Anolis sagrei: one gene and its partners. The protein of the gene in region 3 purifies or fractionates together with the protein of the main gene of each other region. This does not show direct contact. Links are inferred from orthologs where the notes say so. Each region holds a gene or a part of one and is shown on either strand. Other genes may lie near its edges.

The links.
Region 1: the proteins of WRAP73 (region 3) and CEP135 purify together in Homo sapiens (co-immunoprecipitation; 6 studies listed by BioGRID and IntAct, counting the BioPlex papers as one, with this or other methods). This does not show direct contact. The link is inferred for Anolis sagrei from reciprocal best matches to the Homo sapiens genes WRAP73 and CEP135.
Region 2: the proteins of WRAP73 (region 3) and OBI1 purify together in Homo sapiens (affinity purification with mass spectrometry; 3 studies listed by BioGRID and IntAct, counting the BioPlex papers as one, with this or other methods). This does not show direct contact. The link is inferred for Anolis sagrei from reciprocal best matches to the Homo sapiens genes WRAP73 and OBI1.

The regions. Positions count from the first base shown.
Region 1 is NC_090025.1:73,424,347-73,432,612, forward strand, and holds the start of CEP135 (centrosomal protein of 135 kDa), read right to left. Parts: upstream 3,536-8,266; 5' UTR 3,401-3,535; intron 1,182-3,400; 5' UTR 1,136-1,181; coding exon 1,023-1,135; intron 1-1,022. Other genes in the region: EXOC1 (exocyst complex component 1), read right to left, coding at 8,059-8,211. UniProt on the Homo sapiens protein: Centrosomal microtubule-binding protein involved in centriole biogenesis. Acts as a scaffolding protein during early centriole biogenesis.
Region 2 is NC_090023.1:116,801,245-116,809,271, reverse strand, and holds the start of OBI1 (ORC ubiquitin ligase 1), read left to right. Parts: upstream 1-4,886; 5' UTR 4,887-5,043; coding exon 5,044-5,115; intron 5,116-8,027. UniProt on the Homo sapiens protein: E3 ubiquitin ligase essential for DNA replication origin activation during S phase.
Region 3 is NC_090033.1:11,947,060-11,955,185, reverse strand, and holds the start of WRAP73 (WD repeat-containing protein WRAP73), read left to right. Parts: upstream 1-4,925; 5' UTR 4,926-5,015; exon of another isoform or gene 5,016-5,019; intron 5,020-8,126.

The DNA of each region.
Region 1 (8,266 bases), on a different chromosome or scaffold from region 3:
TTAATCATAGAGGTTTTCACCTGTTCTGTTTCTGTCATCCACTGGAGCAATTTATTATATAATATTGTAACCGTTTTCCTTTGTGTTTTTAGTATTCTATCCCATGTATTCTCGTTCCAGTCAAAACCTGTTTTTTGATCTTGTTTAAAATAGTCTTTAATTTGTAGATAGTTTAACCAAGTTATATTGCTAAATAAAGTCTTTAATTGTTCAAATGATTTCATCTCTGTTGTCCCCTTCACCAATATATCCTTGTATCTTGGCCATGTCCTCCATCCTAGTAGTCTTCTTTGATGCGCCTCCATTGCTGAAATCCATAGTGGTGTTGTTTTGTAAAAAAAAGCTTTATACCTCATCCATGAGGGACAACTGCTGTATCTCAAAGCACATTCGAACTGGTTGAAAAGTCCCAATATTGCTCCTGTTCTTTCGATTTTAAACTGAATTAAAATAAACCGTCCTAGAGAGATGGTATAAAAAAGTCACTGATCATAATGGGAGCTGACAGAAAACATTCTGGGATGAACAAAACACGTACCATCTCCAAAATAAAACCAGAAATTACTGGAACAAAATCTGTGACTTTCTGGTCTTTATAATGAGTCTGGATTAATCGCTATCTAGCTTGTAAGGAAGATGAAACAGCCTAGGAATATTTTACTTGTCATGGATAGGAAAGGAAGAGGATCGGACATCTTGCTGAGCTTGCACCAAAACCCAAATGCAAAATGCCTATATTCAGAAATGTATTGTGCAGAAACCAAGGAATTGTTCTGCTCTGGTGAGTACTTTTATTTATACAAGTGACCATGCAGTTTGACACCACTTTAACTGCCACGGAAATTGTAATATTTTTACAAGATCTTTGGTTCTGTTTGCCAAAAGTTCTGGTGCCTTACCATACTACCACTTTCATCAGTCCACAGCACTGAGTTATGACAATTACAGTGGTGTAAACTGCATTAATTCTATAATACCGATACATCCCGCGTACTTTTTATTATATCATTTTGTTTCAATACCTGAAAAGCTTTTCCACCAATGGGAGGCTTTCTATTCCCAGAGGCTGTCGATATCCCAGCTGATCCAAATGCTTCCTGAGATTAACAAACTTTCTCTCTGCAGCCGTAGTCATTGTGAAGATATTTGTAGCAGAGATATTTGGGGTTAACAATCAGAATCTGCAAGTAATTTGAAAAATGTGCACATTACACGAGCATGAGGGCTGAGTAGGGACACTCATTTAAGATAAGGTATAGATCAATATGACATGTCTTCCAGTTTTGTTATGGAGATATTTCCTTGCATTGATGCCACCACCCCTTTTAGATCATGCTGCTGGTACTTCCTTATTAGTGTTTGAAGTATGACCCTTCTGAATACGCTTCCCTTCTTGACTGTAAGAACTGTTCAGCTGTGGAATTCTCTACATCAGAGTGTGATGAAAGCTCCTTCATTGGAGGCTTTTAAACAGAGGCTGGATGGCCATCTGTCAGGGACACTGATTGTGCTTTTCCTGCATAGCAAGGGATTGGACTAGATGGCCATGTGGCCTCTTCCAACTCTGCTGGCCAGACTTCAAACGCCTACTTGGCTATGGGAACCCACTGGGTGACTTTGGTAAATCACACTCTCTCAGGGCTCCTGGTGTGAGAGAATTGGCCATCTGCAGGGGACGGCGAGATGATTTTTGATGTTTTTATCATCCTTGTGGGAGGCTTCTCTCATGTCCCCGCATGAGGAGCTGGAGCTGATAGAGGGAGCTCATCCGCCTCTCCCCGGATTCGAATCTGTGACCTATCAGTCTTCAGTCCTGCCGGCACAGGAGTTTAACCCATTGCGCCACCAGGGGGGCTCCATATATATATATATATATATATATATATATATATATATGATACTGATATTGTACTGTGCTAATAGGAGCCACCGGTGGCGCAGTGAGTTAAAGCACTGAGCTGCTGAGCTTGTTGATCGAAAAGTCGCAGGTTTGATTCCGGGGAGCGGCGTGAGCTTCCGTTGTCAGCCCTAGCTTCTGCCAACCTAGCAGTTCGAAAACATGCAAATGTGAATAGATCAATAGGTACCGCTCCGGCGGGAAGGTAACGGCGCTCCATGCAGTCATGCCGGCCACATGACCTTGGAGGTGTCTATGGACAACGCCGGCTCTTCGGCTTAGAAATGGAGATGAGCACCACACCCCAGAGTCAGACATGACTGGACTTAATGTCAGGGGACTACCTTTACCTTTACCTACTATGCTAATAATATAATATGTTGTATGTTTATATGTTTTGTAAGCCGCTCTGAGTCCCCTTCAGGGAGAGAAGGGTGGCTGGTTTTGACCTACAAAACCCTGTACAGTTCCAGTCCAGTGTATCTGTCCGAACGTATCTCCCTCTACGTCCCACCTCGGAGTCTGAGATCATCTGGGGAGGCCCTGCTATCAACCCCACCACTGTCACAAGTGAGGTTGGTGGGGACGAGGAGCAGGGCTTTCTCAGTGGTGGCCCCTCACCTGTGGAACTCACTCCCGGGGGAAATCAGGGCATCATCATCCCTCCTTGCCTTTAGGAGAAGGGTGAAGACTTGGTTATGGGACCAGGCCTTTGGGCACTCCGGCAACTAAATCAGACAACCAGGCGAGTAAGACTGGATTGATGAAGTGGAACGTAAAACTAGATCTATGAGTAGCGAACGCTGACCATGTAAGAGGAGAAATTGGGTTTGTATTTGGTTTTATTGATTTCATTGATTTCATGGTTCTAATGCATAATTGTTGTTAACTGTGTATTGATGTAATTTTGTGTATGATTGTTTTTATGATGCAGGCATCAAATTGTGCCTTTGCTTTTGTAAGCCGCCCTGAGTCCCCTTCGGGGTGAGAAGGGAGGGGTAAAAGAACCCCAAATAAATAAATAAATAAATATAAATGTCGCAAATAAATAAATAAAGCAGATAATGTGGGGTTATTTTCAGCTGTGTGGGTGGGGCCTCAGAGGAAGGGAAGTGCAAGCCTCTTTTGAAGAAATTCTGCCTGGGAAACTCCATGATAAGGTTGCCATAAGTAGGAAACCACTTGGAAGCACACAATAACATTCCTTTCGACACTGAAGGGAGGTAAAGCTGTTGTCTGCCCTGGCTGAAAGGCTACAGGGATTTCCTGGCGGTGATTAGTAAGGATAGGAAGCGGTGAAGCCTCAAGGGAAGGCCCTCCACCTCAGCGCGCTCTGGTAGCAGCCTGGGGGCCTTTCGAAGAGGGGCTCCCACTCCAAGTGACGTCACCGCCCTCTCGTCATCCGCGTCGCCATGGAAACGGGCCTTCGCGGCCTCCAATCTCGGCCGCGCTCTCTTTCAGGCCAGGCACGCTGACAGCCCCACTGAATCTTTTCCCACTCACCAGCTCCGGGAGGCCATCTACTCCACACCACCGGGTGCTGCTTCCCTCTCCCTCCGCCGAAAGAAAGAGCGGACGGGCCTAGCAAGCCGTTTGAAAATGGCGCGCGGAGCGTCGGCAACTTCCGCCCCAAGGTCGCCCCGGCAACCGTCGCAAGCGTCGCGCGCCTCACCCGCCGCCCCACAGCGGCCCCTGGCGGGCATCAGGGAGAATGACGCACACGCAACTGCAGTTGTCGATGTCCTTTACTACTCCCGCCCCTCCAGACCGCAGGAGCCAATCAGGCCGATTGTAGGACAGCTCGCGCTTCCGGATTGGTCTACTGCAGCAAGTGAATGGGAATGAATGGGCACCTGATGAACCAGCCTGGACACAGCATATTATTTGAGAACACAGAAATGCTGGACCACACCAACAACCACCATGTCAGACTACACAGAGAAGCCATTGAAATCCACAAGCATGTGGACAATTTCAACAGAAAGGAAGGGACCATGAAAATGAACAAAATCTGGCTACCAGTATTAAAAAACTCTAAAATTACAACAGCAAAACAGCAGAGAGGAAACAACCAGGCACATCTTAACACCTCTCAACAGAACATTTTCCCAGGCTCAGCCAGGCCTTCAAATGCTAATGAAGGTGGTCAGCTGAAACATTCACACCTAGCTTCAGCAGAGAGCTCTTTGCCACACCCCAGTCATTCCACAGATATATAAACCCATTGTCCTAATTCCAACAGACCTCACTATCTCTGAGGATGCTTGCCATAGATGCAGGCGAAACGTCAGGAGAAATGCCTCTAGAACATGGCCCTATAGCCCGAAAAAACCTACAAGAACCTAATGGGCACCCTGTCCCTCCAGATGTTGTGGACTTAAATTTGCAGCAGCTTCCCCCAATAATCAGATTCTGGGGGCAGAACTCCAAAATACTGGATGGAGCAGAGTTTGGGAGGCACCTTCCACACAGCTGTATACAATCCACATTGAACTGGATTATATGGCAGTGTGGACTCAGATAATCTCATGAATTACTTTTCAATAACTTTAAAGCATAGGTTGTTTTTATTGCAATTTCCAGTGTGAGGGGGTATATCAGATTACAGAAAATCATTTCGACATAGGCATATAGATTCTATGCAACTACATTGGATTCACAATTACACTGGTTAACAGACAAAGGTGAATTACATTTTCAATCACCACACACATGTGCAGGCATATAGCCGGGGGGGGGGGGGCTTGGGGGGGCTTCACCCCCCCCCCCCGAAATTCTCATGGTGGTCCGCGAGAAGGCCTTGATACATTATTTAAACTGTTATGATTATTCATATCATGATCTGATCACCATGCTCAATATATCCCATATGCATGGGGGTATTGGTGTAACGATACAAAAGGTTTGCTAGGGCAGACCCTCTTTCACTTGGACTCAGAACCCCCCCCCCCCCAAAACAAAATCCTGGCTACGGCCCTGCACAAATATTACTGTACCGAGAAGCACCTGTTAGGCCAGACCCTGCTTTCCTGCAGCCTGCCAACACATAGTTCCAAAACTTCCATAAGTTCAAAACTTCAAAATGCATCTTCTCCCTAAGCACAATGCCAAGGACCAGATCTCTGTTTCCCATACAGCAGAACTTGATTCCACACACAAAACTAAGACTCCAAAAGTGCACTTCTTCCTCTTCTCTTGAGAAAAAAGCCCCAAAGTGACCAGACTGCTCCAGTGCAAATCTGCCACTCCATGGTACACTATATCTCTCCTTCTCATGGAGCAGAGCATAGTGGGTGAACCAGACTCCTCAGGTCTGTCACAATTTGAGAATTATTAGATTGAGTCTTTTATGGGAATATTCTGCTGATGTAGTCCCAAAGTTGTAAATTAATGATAGACGTCTTCCATCCTGGTTCCATCTGTTTCCTGGCCAGATCTTGATTCTTCTTGATTGGTGCTGATTTTATGTTGACTTCCTTCTTAACATTGTAAACATTTCTGTTATCACTGTCCCAGTGCTTATCAGAGTTTACTTTTCAGATCTTATTAGCAACTTTTAATTACAGTCCAGCAAGTGGGTAGTTAGTCATTGCAGGCCTTAATATTTTACTGGTGTTTCAAAAATTATTAACTCATCCCATACATCCTTCCATTCATTCCCACACATATATTAAATTCACATTTATCAATTCTGCACATTGAATTTCTTATTACAATAACCTAGTTCAAAGCAGATAGTATAGATTAACTGCCTTGATATTCAGTGTTATATAGCTGTGTAGAAGGGCGCCCAGTTCAAAGCAAATATTGCAGATTATTTGCCTTGATATTCAGTGTTATATAGCTGCGTGGAAGGACCCATTGGCAAGGAATCTTCAGAGGTGGTTTTGCCACTTCCATACTTCTGGAATATAGCCTCCAGCATTTGGTATTAACTGGCAGTCTCCCATCCAAGGGCTAACCAAGATTGAGCCTGCTTAGCTTTCAAGACCTGATGAAATCTGGACTCTTTCAGCCCCTAGTTATGGCAGATTGTTTTTTTTTTTAAAAAAAAAATCTGATTACCAATCAGCTTCATTTGTTGCAAAATGGAACAGCTAAGGCCCCTTTCACACAGCTGTATAAAATCCACATTGAACTGGATTATATGACAGTGTGTACTCAGATAACCCAGTTCAAAGCAGAGATTGTGGATTATCTGCCTCAATATTCTGGGTTATATGGCTGTGTGGAAGGGCCATAAGTTGTGTCGTACCATACAAGTTTGTTATTTTTTTTGCAACCGAAAGACTTTCAAGGTTCACCAGTTGAGAGCCCAGTTCAATTTGTCCTCTTCTTTAAAACAAAACAGACAAAAATGATAAACATGTGGCCTCCAGAAGCCAGTGAACTCTGGCTAAGGCAACTGATATTTCCGCTCCAACACATCTGGAGGATTGCATAATGCTCAACCGCTCCCCTTTTTGATGTTCAGTGATTATGATTGAGTCTAATCATTTTACCGTGTATTAGTTGCCTTGAGCATTTTTGTAGAAAAGGATTAAAAGTGCAATAAGACCGTACTTGCATCTGCTATATGACAATGTTAGAATACACTGTAGCAAACTCATTTGACTTAAAACGTGGAGTGGTTCTCGTTTGCTGTCCCCAGGGCACAAACGCTGTTTGGTGACTACTAAACCTTATGAGGGATGTTTGATCATATTGTCTTCATACACAGAATTTAAATGTAAGAACAGCTTGAGAAAGTGGCATCGGCAACACTCTGGAAAGGCAGATATGTAGGCGGAGGAAACCAACTGTAACCAATTAAATGTTTTAATTCTTCCTGAACTGAGGTGCTCTGATCCTGAGACACAGTGCCTGTGATTACATTAAGTAACACGATTTTTGTTCCTGGGTTAGAAATGTCATTTTATAATTGGTTCTATCATAAAAACATGGGGAAAGTTGATTAAACTGCAAAAGCTTTGTTTTTGCGGGACATCCTACAGCATATTTTGCTATAGTTTTTCAATGAGTATCTCATAGTCTCTCAACCAATTCAACAAAATTTTGTCTAAGACCCCTTCTACACTTCCAGATTATCAAAGTAGGTAATCCACATTATCTGCTTTGAACTGGATTATATGAGTCTACAATACTATATAATCCAGTTCAAAGTGGATTATCTGGATTTTATATGGCAGTGTAGAAGGGGTCTTAGTGTAGAGAGGGTCCAAGGTGTTATTTTACTGGCTTCACTGGCTATGCTTAGATCATGGACAGAAAAATCTTGAGCCTTTTATATAAAATATTACTTATAACTTCCATTATGGAGCCCCCAGTGGTGAAGTGGGTTGAACTGTTGAGCTGCTGAACTTGCTTAACCAAAAGGTTGCAGGTTCGAATCTGGGAGCAGGGTGAGCTCCCGCTGTTAACTCCAGCTCCTGCCAACCTAGCAGTTAGAAAACATGGAAATATGTATGAGTAGATCAATAGGTAATGCTTCAGCAGGAAGGTAACTGCGCTCCATGAATTGTAGCATTTTATTGCTTTTTATCTCCATAAGTTATTTCAGTGTTTTTAAAGGAAGCTTCCAATAGCATCCTTCTATTACTAGTAAGAGAAAAGTATGAACACAATCTTTGGATGACTCACTGGATAAACAGTTGTCGATTTTCTTTTGTGAACTGCTCAAGCACAACTAACAATCTTCCACAGGTTATGTATGTAACTTTTTTTACTTCAGAAGAATTACAACAATGGTCATGTAAAGTGATTCTGAAGAGCATAATCTTGGCTATCCTAACCATCAATATATTAACATGCTTTGATACAATAGTTCTCCTTTAGCTGTTTACAACAACTTTAAAATTGCATATTTTCTAGGAACTACAGTTGAATAGGGAAGCATAGTGTGTGTGGTACTCCAGGAACACACAGAACTAATAATATCCTGTGGAAAGTAAAACTACCAAGACTGTACTACATATGAAAATGTACAATTTAACACTTTTTAAAAATCCAGTAATTAAGTAGCATTTTGGCTTAGGCCACTGGTTGCTAGGATGAGCGCAGTTACAGATACCCCTTTATAATGCCAACTCTCAAAGCAACAATATCTCCAGTGTCAAACATTCTTCTCAGAAAGCTTGCCAGCTTATCTTGCTTGGCAGATATTAGTGAGACTGTGCAATGCTGGAGAAGTAGTCCAAAATGTCTTGGATAGTGAACTCCATAGTAATTCCAGATCCAGGGTAGCAACGTGCTATTAAGCCTTCAAAGTGCTTGTATTGCCGAATGAACTCATCTTGCATTGAGTGCCACACCACCTGACAAACAGAAGAAAGTGGAGTTTTAATAATGAAAATACTGGCGGAGGTTCCA
Region 2 (8,027 bases), on a different chromosome or scaffold from region 3:
TTGTTCATTCGTTCAGTCATTTCCAACTCTACGTGACTTCATGGACCAGTCATATTCTGTGCATCTCTGTGCATTAATAAGAGCGCTTTTTTGGCTCTAAATGAGGCATGGACTTGCTACCAATCTCACTTACCAGCAGACCCACCTTCCTGAATGCATGGCTGTACTCATGATACATTTGGAAACCCGTGGCTTGTTAAGAGACTAGATAACATTTTTAAAGGGAAAAAAACTGATATTTTTCAAGGCACCCAACTGCTGGTGTTTAATAGCAACATTAGCTGTGGCAGTAGTGACATAGACATTTCCTTGTAGCGAAGGGCTCCCAAACCTTCAGACCCCAATTGTACATGGTGCTATGCATTTGCAAATCTTCCTGCTGAGCATTGGCAGCATCAGTGCTCCAAACACAGCAATATGCACATGCAACTCTCCTACTGCTGCTGGCCCGTTGGCAAGCAAAATCTAAAAGTTCTGCCTCCATTGCTCTGTTGCTGCCAAGATTCAAGCTGCAAGTGTTGTTCCTTCAGGTTAAGAAAAAAGTGAGTATTTTGCAAACCTAGTACAGGCAGTCTGCAAGTTGTGAATAAGATATGTTCTGTAGCTTTGTTCTTAAGTTGAATTTGTAAATAAGTTACATAATCTTTTAGCTTTGGCTAGCATAAGGAAGGGTTAACACCCCTGTGGTGTTCATTTTGCTGTCTGTGCCTCTGTTCAGAAGATTTCACATCTCTTTCTGTCCCTGTGAGAATTGGATTTTGAAAAATTTAGCTTGCTGTGGAAACAAGAATTTGAGATAAAGCCTCAGTTGAAACACCTTTGCCTCATGATAACTCTTTCAGGAATGAATATCCATTCTTACGGTTAGATTTCTCACACTTCCTGTTGTCTCACCCCCGTTTTTAACTATGAGTCATCTGTAAGTCTGATGGTTGTAACTAGGAGACTGCCTGTACAATTTTTTTGGAGAGATTAAAGAAACTTAACCTCCATCTACACTGTTGAATTCATGCAGCTTAACACCATTTTAACTGTCATGTTTCAAAGTGATGGGATCATTAGATTTGTAGTTTGGTGAGACATCCCTACTTTCTGGAAGAGAAAGCTAAAGGTCTTGTAAAACCACAGTGCCCATAATTCCATGGCATTGAGCCGCAGCATCAACTGCATTAATTCTACAGTGTATATGCACCATTAGGGAATATCCATTCAAACGGATTGGTTGGTTATTCAAGACAATGGAACGATTTCTTTTCCCAGTATATGGTCAGGCTGCAGGAGTGACCAGACTTTTAAAGCCAAGGGCCAGTTCACAGTCCCTTATTCTGTTGGAGGGCCAGAATATAGTTTGCAAAAAAAATGAATGCATTCTTATGCACACTGCATATGTCTTATTTATAGTGCAAAACAAACAAACAAACATGGAAGAACAATACAATATATAAAACAAAGAACAATTTTAACCAACGTAAATGTACCAGTCTTTTAATGGGAAGTGTGGGCCTGCTTTTGGTTAATGGGAGAGTCAAGTTAATTAGAATTGTTGTGTGCCTTCAAGTCATTTCAGACAATGGCATATTCTGCCTCAGAGTCTGGTGGAGTCTCCTTCTCTGAAGTCTTTTCAGCAGAGTCTGCACAGCCATCTGTTGGGAGGGCTTTGATTGTGGCCTGTAGTTGCCCCCTGACTCTCCCTTTTTCTTCCCAAGGAAGGAGCCACAGCAAAGGGAAGCCTTTTTGGAAAATGTGGGGGGCCCTGATCCCCAAGAAGGAAGGAACGAAGAGAGGCAGGAACTCAAGAAAGGGAGGGAGGGAGGCCTAGAGAGTGGGGTTGTGGAACTGGGGCCGCAATTGGCCCCCAGACTGGACTTTGGACATGCCTGGGCTATAGAATCCATTGCCACTTGGATGGGAGATCACCTATGAATGCCAGGAACTCTGGGTTACATTTCAGAAAAAAGAACTGGTAAAACCGCCTCTGAGTATCCCTTGCAAAAGAAAACCCTGTGAAATTCATGGGGTCTCTGTACGTTGACAGGTGATTTAAATCCACAGTAGACTTGAAAACACAGACACGGCTGGGAAATACAGAGCAGTGAGATTATAATTTAGTCAGCCAATAGGGGGCTCTTTGAGGCTCTCAGAAATTGCAATTCCAACTCTATTTTAAAAATAATAATAACTAAAACTAACAAGATACAGCGATTCTTCTTTTTAAAAAGTGTTGTTAACTAATAACTACATTTTAAAATTCACTTCCCAAATTTCAACATGTACATAAGAAAGGAAAATGATTGTACTTAGAACACTTTCCTACCTTTGAATTGTACCCATTAGGAAAAAGGGGAGAAGAAATTCTCTGAGTGTGGTCTCAATGCCTCTCTTGTTCTTTTTATATAAAAGCGAAAATATGTATGTTGTATGTATGTAAGTTTGTATCTAATCTATGTATCTATTTCCCAAGATGGCTTACACTTCCAGGGAGCAGTGTGACTCCCACAAACAATCGATCTAAACCAAACTTACCCTGCATAACTAACAGAAAATACTGGAGGTGTTTGGGGGGACAGACCCAACATGATGGAGCTGTAGTCCACCTACACCCTTGGAGAACTGTGAACCCTATCAACTATGGATCTGGACCAAACCTGGCGCATTTACCCATTATGACCAACTTTAACAACTGTTGGGGTTTGGTGGGAATGATAGGAGTTGTAGTTCACCCTGCATCCAGAGAGCAGTGTGAACCCCACCAATGATAGATCTGAACTAAACTTGGCACACACACCCAACATGACAAACAGAAAATACTGGTGGGGTTTGAGGTGGATTGACCTTGGATGCATTGTGCATTTTCTTAATAGAACCATTCATAAAAAATTTAAAAAGCTTTAAAAATATAAATAGCATTACAAATTACCAAATACTTAAGCTGGACATTGCCGGGTACCTAAACTCAGGGAAAATGAAGTGTGTTTTAAAACATTTACTTGAACAGTTGATCCAGTGAAGTATAGTTGGCCCTCCATATCCAGATTCTGCATCCACAATTTCATACATGCAAGACTGAGAACAAGCCATGAGAATAAAGACGAAGATCCACCCAGAGGAAAAGTGTTCTTGCCATACATCAAGGGAACCACTGACCGCATAGGGAAGCTGATGAGAAAACACAACATACAAACTATCTACAGACCCACCAAGAAAATCCAATAAATGCTACGTTCAGCAAAGGATAAGAGGGATCCTCTCACCTCTGCAGGAGTCTACCGTGTACCATGCAGCTGTGGACAAGTCTACATAGGGACCACCAAACGTAGCATTGCCCAAACACGAATCAAGGAACATGAAAGGTACTGAGGACTACTTCAACCAGAGAAGTCAGCCATAGCAGAGCACCTGATGAACCAACCTGGACACAGCATATTATTTGAGAACACAGAAATGCTGGACCACTCTCACAACCACCATGTCAGACTACACAGAGAAGCCAATGAAATCCACAAGAAGCATGTGGACAATTTCAACAGAAAGGAGGAGACCATGAAAATGAACAAAATCTGGCTACCAGTATTTTAAAAAAACCCTATATATATTTATTTACTTTATGCTATTCTCACCCCAAAGGGGACTCAGAGCAACTTTTTCTTTTCAAACCATGGATGTATGAAATTGGGTTGTTGTAGGTTTTTTCGGGCTATATGGCCATGTTCTGGAGGCATTCTCTCCTGACGTTTCGTCTGCATCTATGGCAAGCATCCTCAGAGGTAGTGAGGTCTGTTGGAACTAGGAAAAAAGGGTTTATATATCTGTGGAATGACCAGGGTGAGACAAAGGACACTTGCCTGCTGGAGCTAAGTGTGAATGTTTCAACTGACCACCTTGATTAGCATATAATGGCCTGACAGTGCCTAGAGCAAACTTTTGTTGAGAGGTGATTAGATGTCCTTGTTTGTTTCCTCTCTGTTGTGCTGTTGTAATTTTAGAGATACACACACACACACCAAAAGCAAACCTTGATTTTGGACATCCATAGATTTTGGTCTCCACAGGGGGTGCTGGAACCAAACCGCAGCAGATACCAAGGGCCTGCTGTAGATGTAACATGGATGGGCTAAGTTAGCCACAGAGTTGCAGTTGCCCATCCCTGGTTTACAGGGGAAACTAGATCTCGAAAATCCTTGTTGCAAAAGTTATTTGGTGAGTCTGTGCAGTCTCTCCCAATCCCATTAACATCAGACAGAAAGCAGGACTGACTGAATCCAGTATTTTGCCGTGGGATCCAGTAAACATGGGGCACACATCTACATTGCAGAATTAATGCATTTTGACACCACTTTAACTGCCATGGCTAAATACTAAAGGATCATGGAAACTGGAGTTTGGTGAGGTACCAGGACTCTCACGAAAATTGCAACTCCCTTGATTCCACAGCATTGAGCCGCGAGAGTTAAAAGTGGTGTCAAAATGCACTAATTCTGCAGTGCAGATGCACCTTTGAACCCTTTGATTTCAACGCACTTTTTAAAAAAAACTGCAGAAAAGTATATAACAATCCATGCAACTTTTTGCCACTTAATCACACTAGAGAATGAATCGACTTTAAATCCGGTTGCTGCCTCCTACAGAATTCTGGGGTTTGTAGTTTAGGGAGGAGACTTTGACAGCCTCACTTGTATTGGTTTCATTGTTTGGAGTGATTTGTCCCCCTGTCCTTGTGCAACCGTGCTGCTTCCTTTGGCAATGCAGGGCCCCAGCTCCAGGCTGCAATTCCCTGCCCCGCCCCGCCGTGGGAGGAGGCCAAATCCGGGGGAAAGGGCGCGCGCCGTTCCCTCTCCATGTGCTCGGCTCCTCCTCCCGGCTCTAAGGGGGAAACGCTGAAAGGAGAGGAAGATTGGCCTCGCCGGCTTGCCATACTCGAGGCAGCGTGAGCGCCGCGTGAGCGCCGGGGAAGCCGCGCCTGCCTTGGCCGCGGGGGCTGTAGTGCGCGCGCGCTCGCTGGCTGGCTTCCGGGCTCGCCTGCCTCTTGGAACGCTCGCGCTCGCCATGGCCCAGAACGTTCAGAACGTCACACTGTCCCTCACGCTGCCCATCACTTGTCACATTTGCCTGGGAAAGGTAACCCCACTCGCGCTCGGGAGGGAAATTCGGGGCGCTTCACCCACGCCACTCCCTCGGCTGCCCATGGAGGCTGCCTGCTGGCCACATGGCCCTGCTCTCAGCAGGCAAGAAGGCTAGGAACCCCTTAAAAACCCCACCAAAACGAAACAAAACACCCTCCCTTCCCAGACATGAAACCCATTGTTCCTAAATCCTAGTGTTTTTTTATTCTTGTTCGTGGCTGTGGTTCCTTGTAGAGGCCTTGGATAGGATCAGTGATTCTTGGATGCTCATCCTTCAGTCCCCCTCCTTTTCCCCATTTCAGGCCAATCCCTGGCATTCCCATTGTTGTTGTTTTTAATGGAGGTTTTAGGATGGGTGCCAATAACAAGGTAGGCCAGGTCACATCGTGGAATCAAAAGGATAGGGGACCTCATGGAACCCAATGGAGAAATAACAAAGTGGGATAAGATAAAAGATTAATATGGTCAAGGGAACTGGATAGCATGGTTAGGCCTGTCCAGTAAAGCTCAGGCCATGAAAAGAAGAGAAGTAGCAGAAACCCTACTAGACAGAATAATTAAAAGGAAAATAGAAATAGATAAATGAATTATTGGGCTGTTGTATGAGGAACTAATCACCTTAACTTACAACACAAAAACAACCCTTATAGAAACTTTAGCAAGAAATTAACTAAGTCTTGGATTGACCACATTCAGAAAATTAAGCATATGAGGATCAGAGAAATCCAAAGCAAAGTAATCTCTAAATGGTAAAGAACCCCCCATCAATTAGAACACAGAATGGAAAATATTTCCAACAAGTGTTGGCATAATTGATGGGGAAACGGTTTATTCTCCCACATGTGGTGGGATTGTAGAAAAATTCAGAACTATTATAGTAAAATAAGAAATGAAATGGAGGAAATATTAGGGAAAGAATTAATGTGGGATAAAGCCAGATTCTTGTTCCTCACAATAAAGGCAAAAGGAAGATAACAATAATTGGACAGAGATCCTAAAATATATGACAGCCGCAATACAAGCCACAATAGCCCAAGGATGGAGAGAGGATACAAAATGGGATTTAGAAACTTGGTGGGCTTATCTATCAGAATATATAATTCATGATTTCATCAATCAAAGGAAAAATAAGTATATGAATAGTCAAAATGAACAAGACTGGTTCAGGAAATGGTCTGTGCTCATTGACAAAACAGACCGAGACAACAGATATTGCATTTTGAATCAGGCTTTCAACATGGTTTAACTGATGCAATGACATCATTTAGAATTGCTGTTCCAGGGGGGTGGGGAGGGCGGGGGTGATGGGCAATACATAATTAAGGAATGTATAAAATGTCATTTAAGGTATATTTACTTTTGGAATTATGTATACTGAAATAAGTCCTGTATGGCAAAAGTTTGTTAATTGTTGGGATGTTTCAAATAAAATGTATAATTATATTTTTTAAAAATCACATAGTGGTACATCTATACCAGGCATCCGCAAACTCCAACCCTCCTGCTGTTTTGGCCTCCAACTCCCAGAAGCCCTAGCCAGCTTGTTCAATGGTTAGGAATTCTTGGAGTTGGAAACTGAAACAGTTGGAGGACTGGAGTTTGATGATGCCTGATCAACAAGTGGAATGAATGCAGTTCATTCCATGGCACACAAAAAATCCATGGCTCAATGCTGTGGGATCCAGGGAGTTGTCGTTTCTGGCAGAGAAGGCTAAAGGCCTTGTAGAACTACAGATTCCATGGCCATGGCAGTTGAAGTAGTGTCAAGCTACACTCATTCTGCAGTCTAAATGCAGCCATGGGAACCTTCAATTCTAATGAGAGCACCACTTGTTGATGCTCATGTGATTTCTTGATAGTTGTTCTCAGAATTGAGAAACTGAGAAGTTTGTAATAATTTTGTAACGAATTGAGCCACAGCAGGCATAGGCAAACTTGGGCCCTCTGGGTGTTTTGGACTTCCACAATTCCAAACAGCCTCAGGTGTCTTCCTTTTCCCCCTCAGCCGCTTATGCAGCTGAGGGGGAAAAGGAAAGGGCCTGAGGCTGTTAGGAATTGTGGGAGTTGAAGTCCCAAACACCTGGACGGCCAAAGTTTGCCCATACCTGAGCTACAGTCTAAAACTTATTCTGATCTGTGGCGATTTCTGGTTTGTTTGTGGCCTCACCTGCTTCTGTTGTCCTTCTTCACCTGATCTCCCTCTTTGGTCATGTCTTTCCTATAAAAGTGTGCTTGGTTCACTCTGCGGTTTTGTTTTCTGTGCTTTGTGATCATAAGCTCTTTAACTGGCTTTTTTGCTTTTACTATCTTCTGTCAGAACTACTTGTTTGGTCCTGGCTATTCCCTAATCGTGGTCCACCAGTTCTGTCTTCACGTAATTTGAAACATGTGGCTTGGTAGAATACCACCTGTGTGTGCCTTCAAATCACCTGTTGATTTATGACAATCCCACGAATTTCATAGTTTTCATAGGAAGACACAAGGTGGTGTTTTTGCCAGTTTCTCTGAAATGCAATCTGCAACCTCTGGTTTTCATTGTTTGCTTTCCATCCAAGTATTAACCAGGTCTGACCCTTTTTAGCTTCCCCAATCAGACAGGATCTGGTGCCTTCGGGATATTTAAACCTCATTAGAATTTTAATTAATGTTTGTTGGGTGGAAGTGGGAGAAATTGTCCATTCACTTCATAAGACACTTTTACAGTCAGGTGACGGTTTATTTGTTTATTCTTATCAGCTGGTGCTTGCTTTAGTACTGCAGATTTTAGTCTGAACTTTAAAGGACCTGTCCAAGGTGCTGAACCTATTTGAGACCTGGAGCTTTAGTATATGTTCCTTCAAGTTCACATCACATTGTTTGCTAACAGTATGCAAAGTCCGATGTCTTGCTGTATTGCAAAATGTTAAG
Region 3 (8,126 bases):
CCAGTGTTCACATTTGGGCATATTGAGTATTCTTGTAGAGTTTGGGCCAGACCCATCATTGTTTGAGTCCATGGTGCTCTCTGGATGTAGGTGAACTACAACTCCCAAACTCAAGGTCAATGCTCACCAATCCCTTCTAGTATTTTCTGTTGGTCATGAGAGTCCTGTGTCCCAAGATTGGTTCAATTCCATCATTGGTGGAGTTCAGAATGCTCTTTGATTGTAGGTGAACTATAAATCGCAGCAACTACAACTCCCAAATGACAAAATCAAATTTTTTTTAGTGAAGGACATACATTGGACTGTTAGGTGTCTTGTGTCCAAATTTGGTGACAATTTGTCCAGTGGTATTGGAGTTCTGTTAATCCCACAAACGAACATTACATTTTTATTTAAATAGATTTAATTTAATTTAATTAATAATCTATTTTTATATTATATCCTACTTGGATAACGAGGGATCGCCTAAGTAAGTTTTTTTATTAAAGTATGTAAATGTTGTTGTTGTTGTTGTTATTATTATTATTATTAAGTTGCTACCCCTCTATTCTGTTTTGGTTAGACCACATCTGGAATATTGTGTCCAATTCTGGGCACCACAATTCAAGAGAGATATTGACAAGCTGGAATGTGTCCAGAGGAGGGCGACTCAAATTATCAAGGGTCTGGAGAACAAGCCCTATGAGGAGCGGCTTAAGGAGCTGGGCATGTTTAACCTGAAGAAGAGAAGGCTGAGAGGGGATATGATAGCCATGTATAAATATGTGAAGGAAGTCATAGGGAGGAGGGAGCAGATCAAGGGTCTGAAGAACAAGCCCTATGAGGAGCGGCTTAAGGAGCTGGGCATGTTTAGCCTGAAGAAGAGAAGTCTGAGAGGGGATATGATAGCCATGTATAAATATGTGAGAGGAAGCCACTGGGAGGAGGAGGGAGCAGGCTTGTTTTCTGCTTCCTTGGAGACTAGGACGCAATGGAACAATGGCTTCAAACTACAAGAGAGGAGATTCCATCTGAACATGACTGTGAGAGCCGTTCAGCAGTGGAACTCTCTGCCCCGGAGTGTGGTGGAGGCTCCTTCTTTGGAAGCTTTTAAACAGAGGCTGGATGGCCATCTGTCAGGGGTGATTTGAATGCAATATTCCTGCTTCTTGGCAGAATGGGGTTGGACTGGATGGCCCATGAGGTCTCTTCCAACTCTTTGATTCTATTATTATTATTATTATTATTATTATTATTATTATTAAGTTTTAGGGAGCTGTCCAAACAGGCTGCAATACCCCGACGAGGCTGGATGGTCATCTATCAGGGGTGATTTAAATGCAATATTCCTGCTTCTTGGCAGGGGTTGGACTGGATGGCCCATGAGGTCTCTTCCAACTCTTTGATTCTATGATTCTATTATTATTATTATTATTATTATTATTATTATTATTATTATTATTATTATTATTATTATTATTATTAAGTTTTAGGGAGCTGTCCAAACAGGCTGCAATACCCGGACGTGGCCACATGATGGCAGCAAAGGAGAGTACATTGGAGCAAAAGTTTTGGGGCAAAAGGCAATTTAATAGAGCAGAAAACCCAGGCGGGTGCAATCTGGACATGTCCCCTAGAGGGCAGCAAAGAGACCGCACGATTAGAACGAAGGAGCTCATTGGGACCCTGCCTGGGGATGATGGGATCCGTTGGCTCCAGACCTTGTCAAAACAAACCAAACAAACTACAACTCTCGCGATCCCATAGCCTGAGACCTTGTCAAAACAAAGTACAACTCTCAGGATGCTATAGCTAATGAATAAATGAAAGAATGAATTTTCTCTCCACCCCCGCAGTTTGGAATGGAACCTTCGGAGCGGCATTGAGTAAATAGGACTCTGGACGGAACCATTCCAAAGGAGGGGAGTCTTGGAGAGTTTGGGTCCCTTAATAGCCCATTTCCCGGCTTCCTCGCCCCTTACCTGCCTGGCTCTGGATTCCAAGGTGGCAAAGGAAGGTGCCTATTCCTGTGGCTTGGCTCTGACTCCCCTCCTTGCCTCGTCCAGCAGTCAATGGGTTTCTATGGAGGGGGAAAGTCGCCTGGTTAACCCTTTCCCTCCAGGGCAGAAGCAGAGGGAGAGGGAAAAGGCGCCTTTTGGAGGCCAACCGGCGGGAAGGGAGGGAGGGAGGAGGGAGGGCTGCATTGATTGGCTGCAGAACTATTATTATTATTATTATTATTATTATTGTTTCTCCCAAATGCAAACCATCTAAAACAGTGTTTCTTAGCCTTCCTAATGCCTCTTATTGTGGTGACCCCCAATATTATTATTATTATTATTATTATTATTATTATTATTCTCCTTGCAACTTCATAACTCTAATTTGGTTACTGTTATGAATCACAATGTAAACATCTATTTTGCAGGATGTATTTTCATTCACTGGACCAAATTGGGCACAAATACCTGATATGCCCAAGTTTGAATACTGTTGAGGTTGGGGAAGGGGATTGGTTTTGTCATTTGGGAGTGTAGGTGAACTACGACTCCCAGACTCAAGGTCAATGCCCAACAAACCGTTCCAGTATTTTCTGTTGGTCATGGGAGTTCTGTGGGGGAAGTTTGGTTCAATTCCACTGTTGGTGGAGTTCAGAATGCTCTTTGATTGTAGGTGAACTATAAATCCCAGTAACTACAACTCTAAAATGTCTATTTCCCACCAAACTTAACCAGTGTTCAAATTTGGACATATTGAGTATCTGTGCCAAGTTTGGTCCAGAGCTATCATTGTTTGTGTCCACAGTGCTCTCTGGGTGTAGGTGAACTATGACTCCCAAACTCAAGGTCAATGCCCACCAAAGTGTTCCAGTATTTTCTGTTGGTCATGGGAGTTCTGTGGGGGAAGTTTGGTTCAATTCCACTGTTGGTGGAGTTCAGAATGCTCTTTGATTGTAGGTGAACTATAAATCCCTGCAACTAGAACTCTAAAATGTCTATTTCCCACCAAACTTAACCAGTGTTCAAATTTGGACATATTGAGTATCTGTGCCAAGTTTGGTCCAGAGCTATCATTGTTTGTGTCCACAGTGCTCTCTGGGTGTAGGTGAACTATGACTCCCAAACTCAAGGTCAATGCTCACCAAACTGTTCCAGTATTTTCTGTTGGTCAAGGGAGTTCTGTGGGGCAAGTTTGGTTCAATTCCACTGTTGGTAGAGTTCAGAATGCTCTTTGATTGTAGGTGAACTATAAATCCCAGCAACTACAACTTCCCAATGACAAAATCAATCACCAGTATTCAAACTTGGGCTTATCAGGTATTTGTGCCAAATTTGGCCCAGTGAATGAACATATATTTCTGGACCATCTTAACAGCATCCACCCAAACATCCAATTCAGCATGGAAAAAGAAAATGAAGAGTCCTTTGTCCCACCCTGGTCATTATTCCACAGATATATAAACCCCTTTTCCTAGTTCCAACAGACCTCACTACCTCTGAGGATGCTTGCCATAGATGCAGGCGAAATGTCAGGAGAGAATGCCTCTAGAACATGGCCATATAGCCCGAAAAAACCTACAACAACCCAGTGATTCCGGCCATGAATCCTTCTACAATATATAACATTTGATGTGTAATATTTTATTATCTCTGGTTAACTTTTAATCTATAATATTTATATTTAATTAATAATATTTATATCCTATTTATTTAACATTTAATCTATAATATTTCTATTATATTTAATTAATAATATTTCTATTATATTTATATCACATTTGATCTATAATATTTTATTATATCTAGTTAACTTTTAATCTATAATATTTATATGTAATTAATAATATTTATATCCTATTTATTTAACATTTAATCTATAATATTTAATTATATTTAATTAATAATATTTCTATTATATTCAATTAATAATGTTTCTATTATATTTATTTAACATTTAATCTCATATTTATATTATACTTAATTAATAATATTTCTATTATATTTATATAGTATTTGATCTCTAATATTTTACTATGTCTAGTTAACATTTAATCTATAATATTTATATGTAATTAATAATATTTATATCCTATTTATTTAACATTTAATCTATAATATTTAATTATATTTAATTAATAATATTTCTATTATATTCAATTAATAATGTTTCTATTATATTTATTTAACATTTAATCTCATATTTATATTATATTTAATTAATAATATTTCTATTTATCTAACATTTAATCTATAATATTTTACTATATCTAGTTAACATTTAATCTATAATATTTATATGTAATTAATAATATTTATATCCTATTTATTTAGCATTTAATCAATAATATTTCTATTATATTCAATTAATAATGTTTCTATTATATTTATTTCACATTTAATCTATAATATTTTATTATATTTAATTAATAATGTTTCTATTATATTTATTTAACATTTAATTAATAATATTTTACTATATCTAGTTAACATTTAAGCTAAAATATTTCTATTATATGTAATTAATAATATTTATATCCTATTTATTTAACATTTAATCTATAATATTTTATTATATCCAGTTAACATTTAATCTATAATATTTAATAATATTTATATCCTATTGATTTAACATTTAATCAATCATATTTCTATTATATTTAATTTTTATATCCTTTTTTTGACATTTAATCAATAATATTTCTATTATATTCAACTAATATTTGTATTCTATTCAGTTAACAAGGTTTCTAATATATTTACTTAGTCACAATGTTAATATTATTTACCTAATATTTAAATAGCACTAATTGCAACCACAAAAAACCAGAAAAAGTGCTCAGTTTGAGAGGAAACCCTGCGAAACTACATTTCCCAGCATACCCTGGGCCGCCGCGCCTCCTCTAACCCCGCCCTTTCCGGTCTGGCTAAGGCCCGCGAAGATTCGTCCTGATTGGCGGGAATCTTAGAATCCGGCGCGGGAGGGGCAGCGTTGCGTGAGGGGTTCTTCTCCCCTCAGGGCGCATGCGCGTGAGCTTGGTCTGTATGTCTGCCTCTCTCTCCTTTTTGACCCATAGTTTGACCCAATTCCCTCTATTTCCTCCTATTTTTCTGTATTAGACATCTCTATATTGTCTCTAACTACATAGATAGCAGGCCTGGGCCAACTTGGGCCCTCCAGGTGTTTTGGACTACAACTCCCACAATTCCTAATAGCCGGTAGGCTGTTAGGAATTGTGGGAGTTGTAGTCCAAAACACCTGGAGGGCCCAAGTTGGCCCAGGCCTGCTATATACCTATATTATCAACTATATCTGTCTCAAACCCCTATATAACTCTCTATAGTCTCTATACCATCTATTCTATGTATTTATACATAATTTAATAATATTTCATTTATATTTATTTAACATTCAATTAATATTTCTGTTTTATTTATTTAATAATGCATTCCTTTAATATTTATATAAAATGTTCATATTTACTATTTATTATATTTGCTTAACATTCAATTAATATTTCTGTTTTACTTATTTAATAATGCTATCCTTTAATATTTATATAAAATGTTCATATTTACTATTTTTTCTACTATATCTGCTTAACATTCAATTAATATTTCTGTTTTACTTATTTAATATTTATATAAATATTCATATTTACTCATATTTTTCCTATTATATTTGCTTAACATTCAAGTAATATTTCTGTTTTACTTATTTAATATTTATATAAATATTCATATTTACTCATATTTTTCCTATTATATCTGCTTAACATTCAATTAATATTTCTGTTTTACTTATTTAATATTTATATAAATATTCATATTTACTCATATTTTTCCTATTATATTTGCTTAACATTCAATTAATATTTCTGTTTTACTTATTTAATATTTATATAAATATTCATATTTACTCATATTTTTCCTATTATATCTGCTTAACATTCAATTAATATTTCTGTTTTACTTATTTAATATTTATATAAATATTCATATTTACTTATATTTTTCTACTATATTAGCTTAACATTCAATTAATATTTCTATTTTACTTATTTAATAATGCATTCCTTTAATATTTATATAAAAATTTCATATTTACTAATATTTTTTCCTATTGTATTTGCTTAACATTCAATTAATATTTTTGTTTTATTTAATAATGCATTCCTTTAATATTTATATAAAATTTTCATATTTACTAATATTTTTTCCTATTATATTTGCTTAACATTCAATTAATATTTCTTTTACTTATTTAATAATGCATTCCTTTAATGTTTATATAAAATTTTCATATTTACTAATATTTCTATTATAGTTGCTTAACGTTCAATTAATATTTCTGTTTTACTTATTTAATATTTATATAAAAATTCATATTTACTTATATTTTTTCTACTATATCTGCTTAACATTCAATTAATATTTCTTTTACTTATTTAATAATGCATTCCTTTAATATTTATATAAAAATTTCATATTTACTAATATTTTTTCCTATTATATTTGCTTAACATTCAATTAATATTTTTGTTTTATTTAATAATGCGTTCCTTTAATATTTATATAAAATTTTCATATTTACTAATATTTTTTCTACTATATCTGCTTAACATTCAATTAATATTTCTGTTTTATTTATTTAATAATGCATACCTTTAGTATGTATATAAAATTTTCATATTTTTTCTATTATATTTATTTAACATTCAATTAATATTTCTATTTTACTTATTTAATAATGCGTTCCTTTAGTATGTATATAAAAATTTCATATTTACTAATATTTTTCCTATTATATTTGCTTAACATTCAGTTAATGTTTCTGTTTTACTTATTTAATATTTATATAAATATTCATATTTACTAATATTTTTCCTACTATATTTGCTTAACATTCAATTAATATTTCTATTTTACTTATTTAATAATGCATTCCTTTAATATTTATATAAAAATTTCATATTTACTATGATTTTTTCCTATTGTATTTGCTTAACATTCAATTAATATTTCTGTTTTACTTATTTAATATTTATATAAATTCATATTTACTTATATTTTTCCTATTATATTTGCTTAACATTCAATTAATATTTCTGTTTTACTTATTTAATAATGCATTTCTTTAATATTTATATAAAATTCATATTTACGAATATTTTTCCTATTATATTTGCTTAACATTCAATTAATATTTCTTTTATTTATTTAATGATGCATTCCTTTAATGTTTATATAAAAATTTCATATTTACTAATATTTTTTTCTACTATATTTGCTTAACATTCAATTAATATTTCTTTTATTTATTTAATGATGCATTCCTTTAATGTTTATATAAAATTTTCATATTTACTAATATGTTTTCCTATTATATTTGCTTAACATTCAATTAATATTTCTGTTTTACTTATTTAATATTTATATAAAAATTCATATTTACTTATATTTTTCTACTATATTTGCTTAACATTCAATTAATATTTCTATTTTACTTATTTAATAATGCATTCCTTTAATATTTATGTAAAATTTCATATTTACTAATATGTTTTCCTATTATATTTGCTTAACATTCAGTTAATATATCTGTTTCATTTATTTAATAATGCATTCCTTTAATGTTTATATAAAATTTTCATATTGACTAATATTTTTTCTACTATATTTGCTTAACATTCAATTAATATTTCTTTTATTTATTTAATAATGTATTCCTTTAATGTTTATATAAAAATTTCATATTTACTAATATGTTTTCCTGTTATATTTGCTTAACATTCAAATAATATTTCTGTTTTACTTATTTAATAATTCATTCCTTTAATATTTATATAAAAATTTCATATTTACTAATATTTTTTCCTATTATATTTGCTTAAAATTCAATTAATATTTCTGTTTTATTTATTTAATAATGCATTAATATATGTGTGTGTGTGTGTGTGTGTGTGTGTGTGTGTGTATATATATATATATATATATATATATATAGCTATATCATCTATATCTCACTTTATATCTTCCTCAAGCTGTACTTCTATAATATTGTTTCATTTTCCGCCCCTATTTTTTCCCTATTGGCATTTTATCCATTTTCTCCCATTGCTTATTTACTTATTTATTTACAGCATTTAT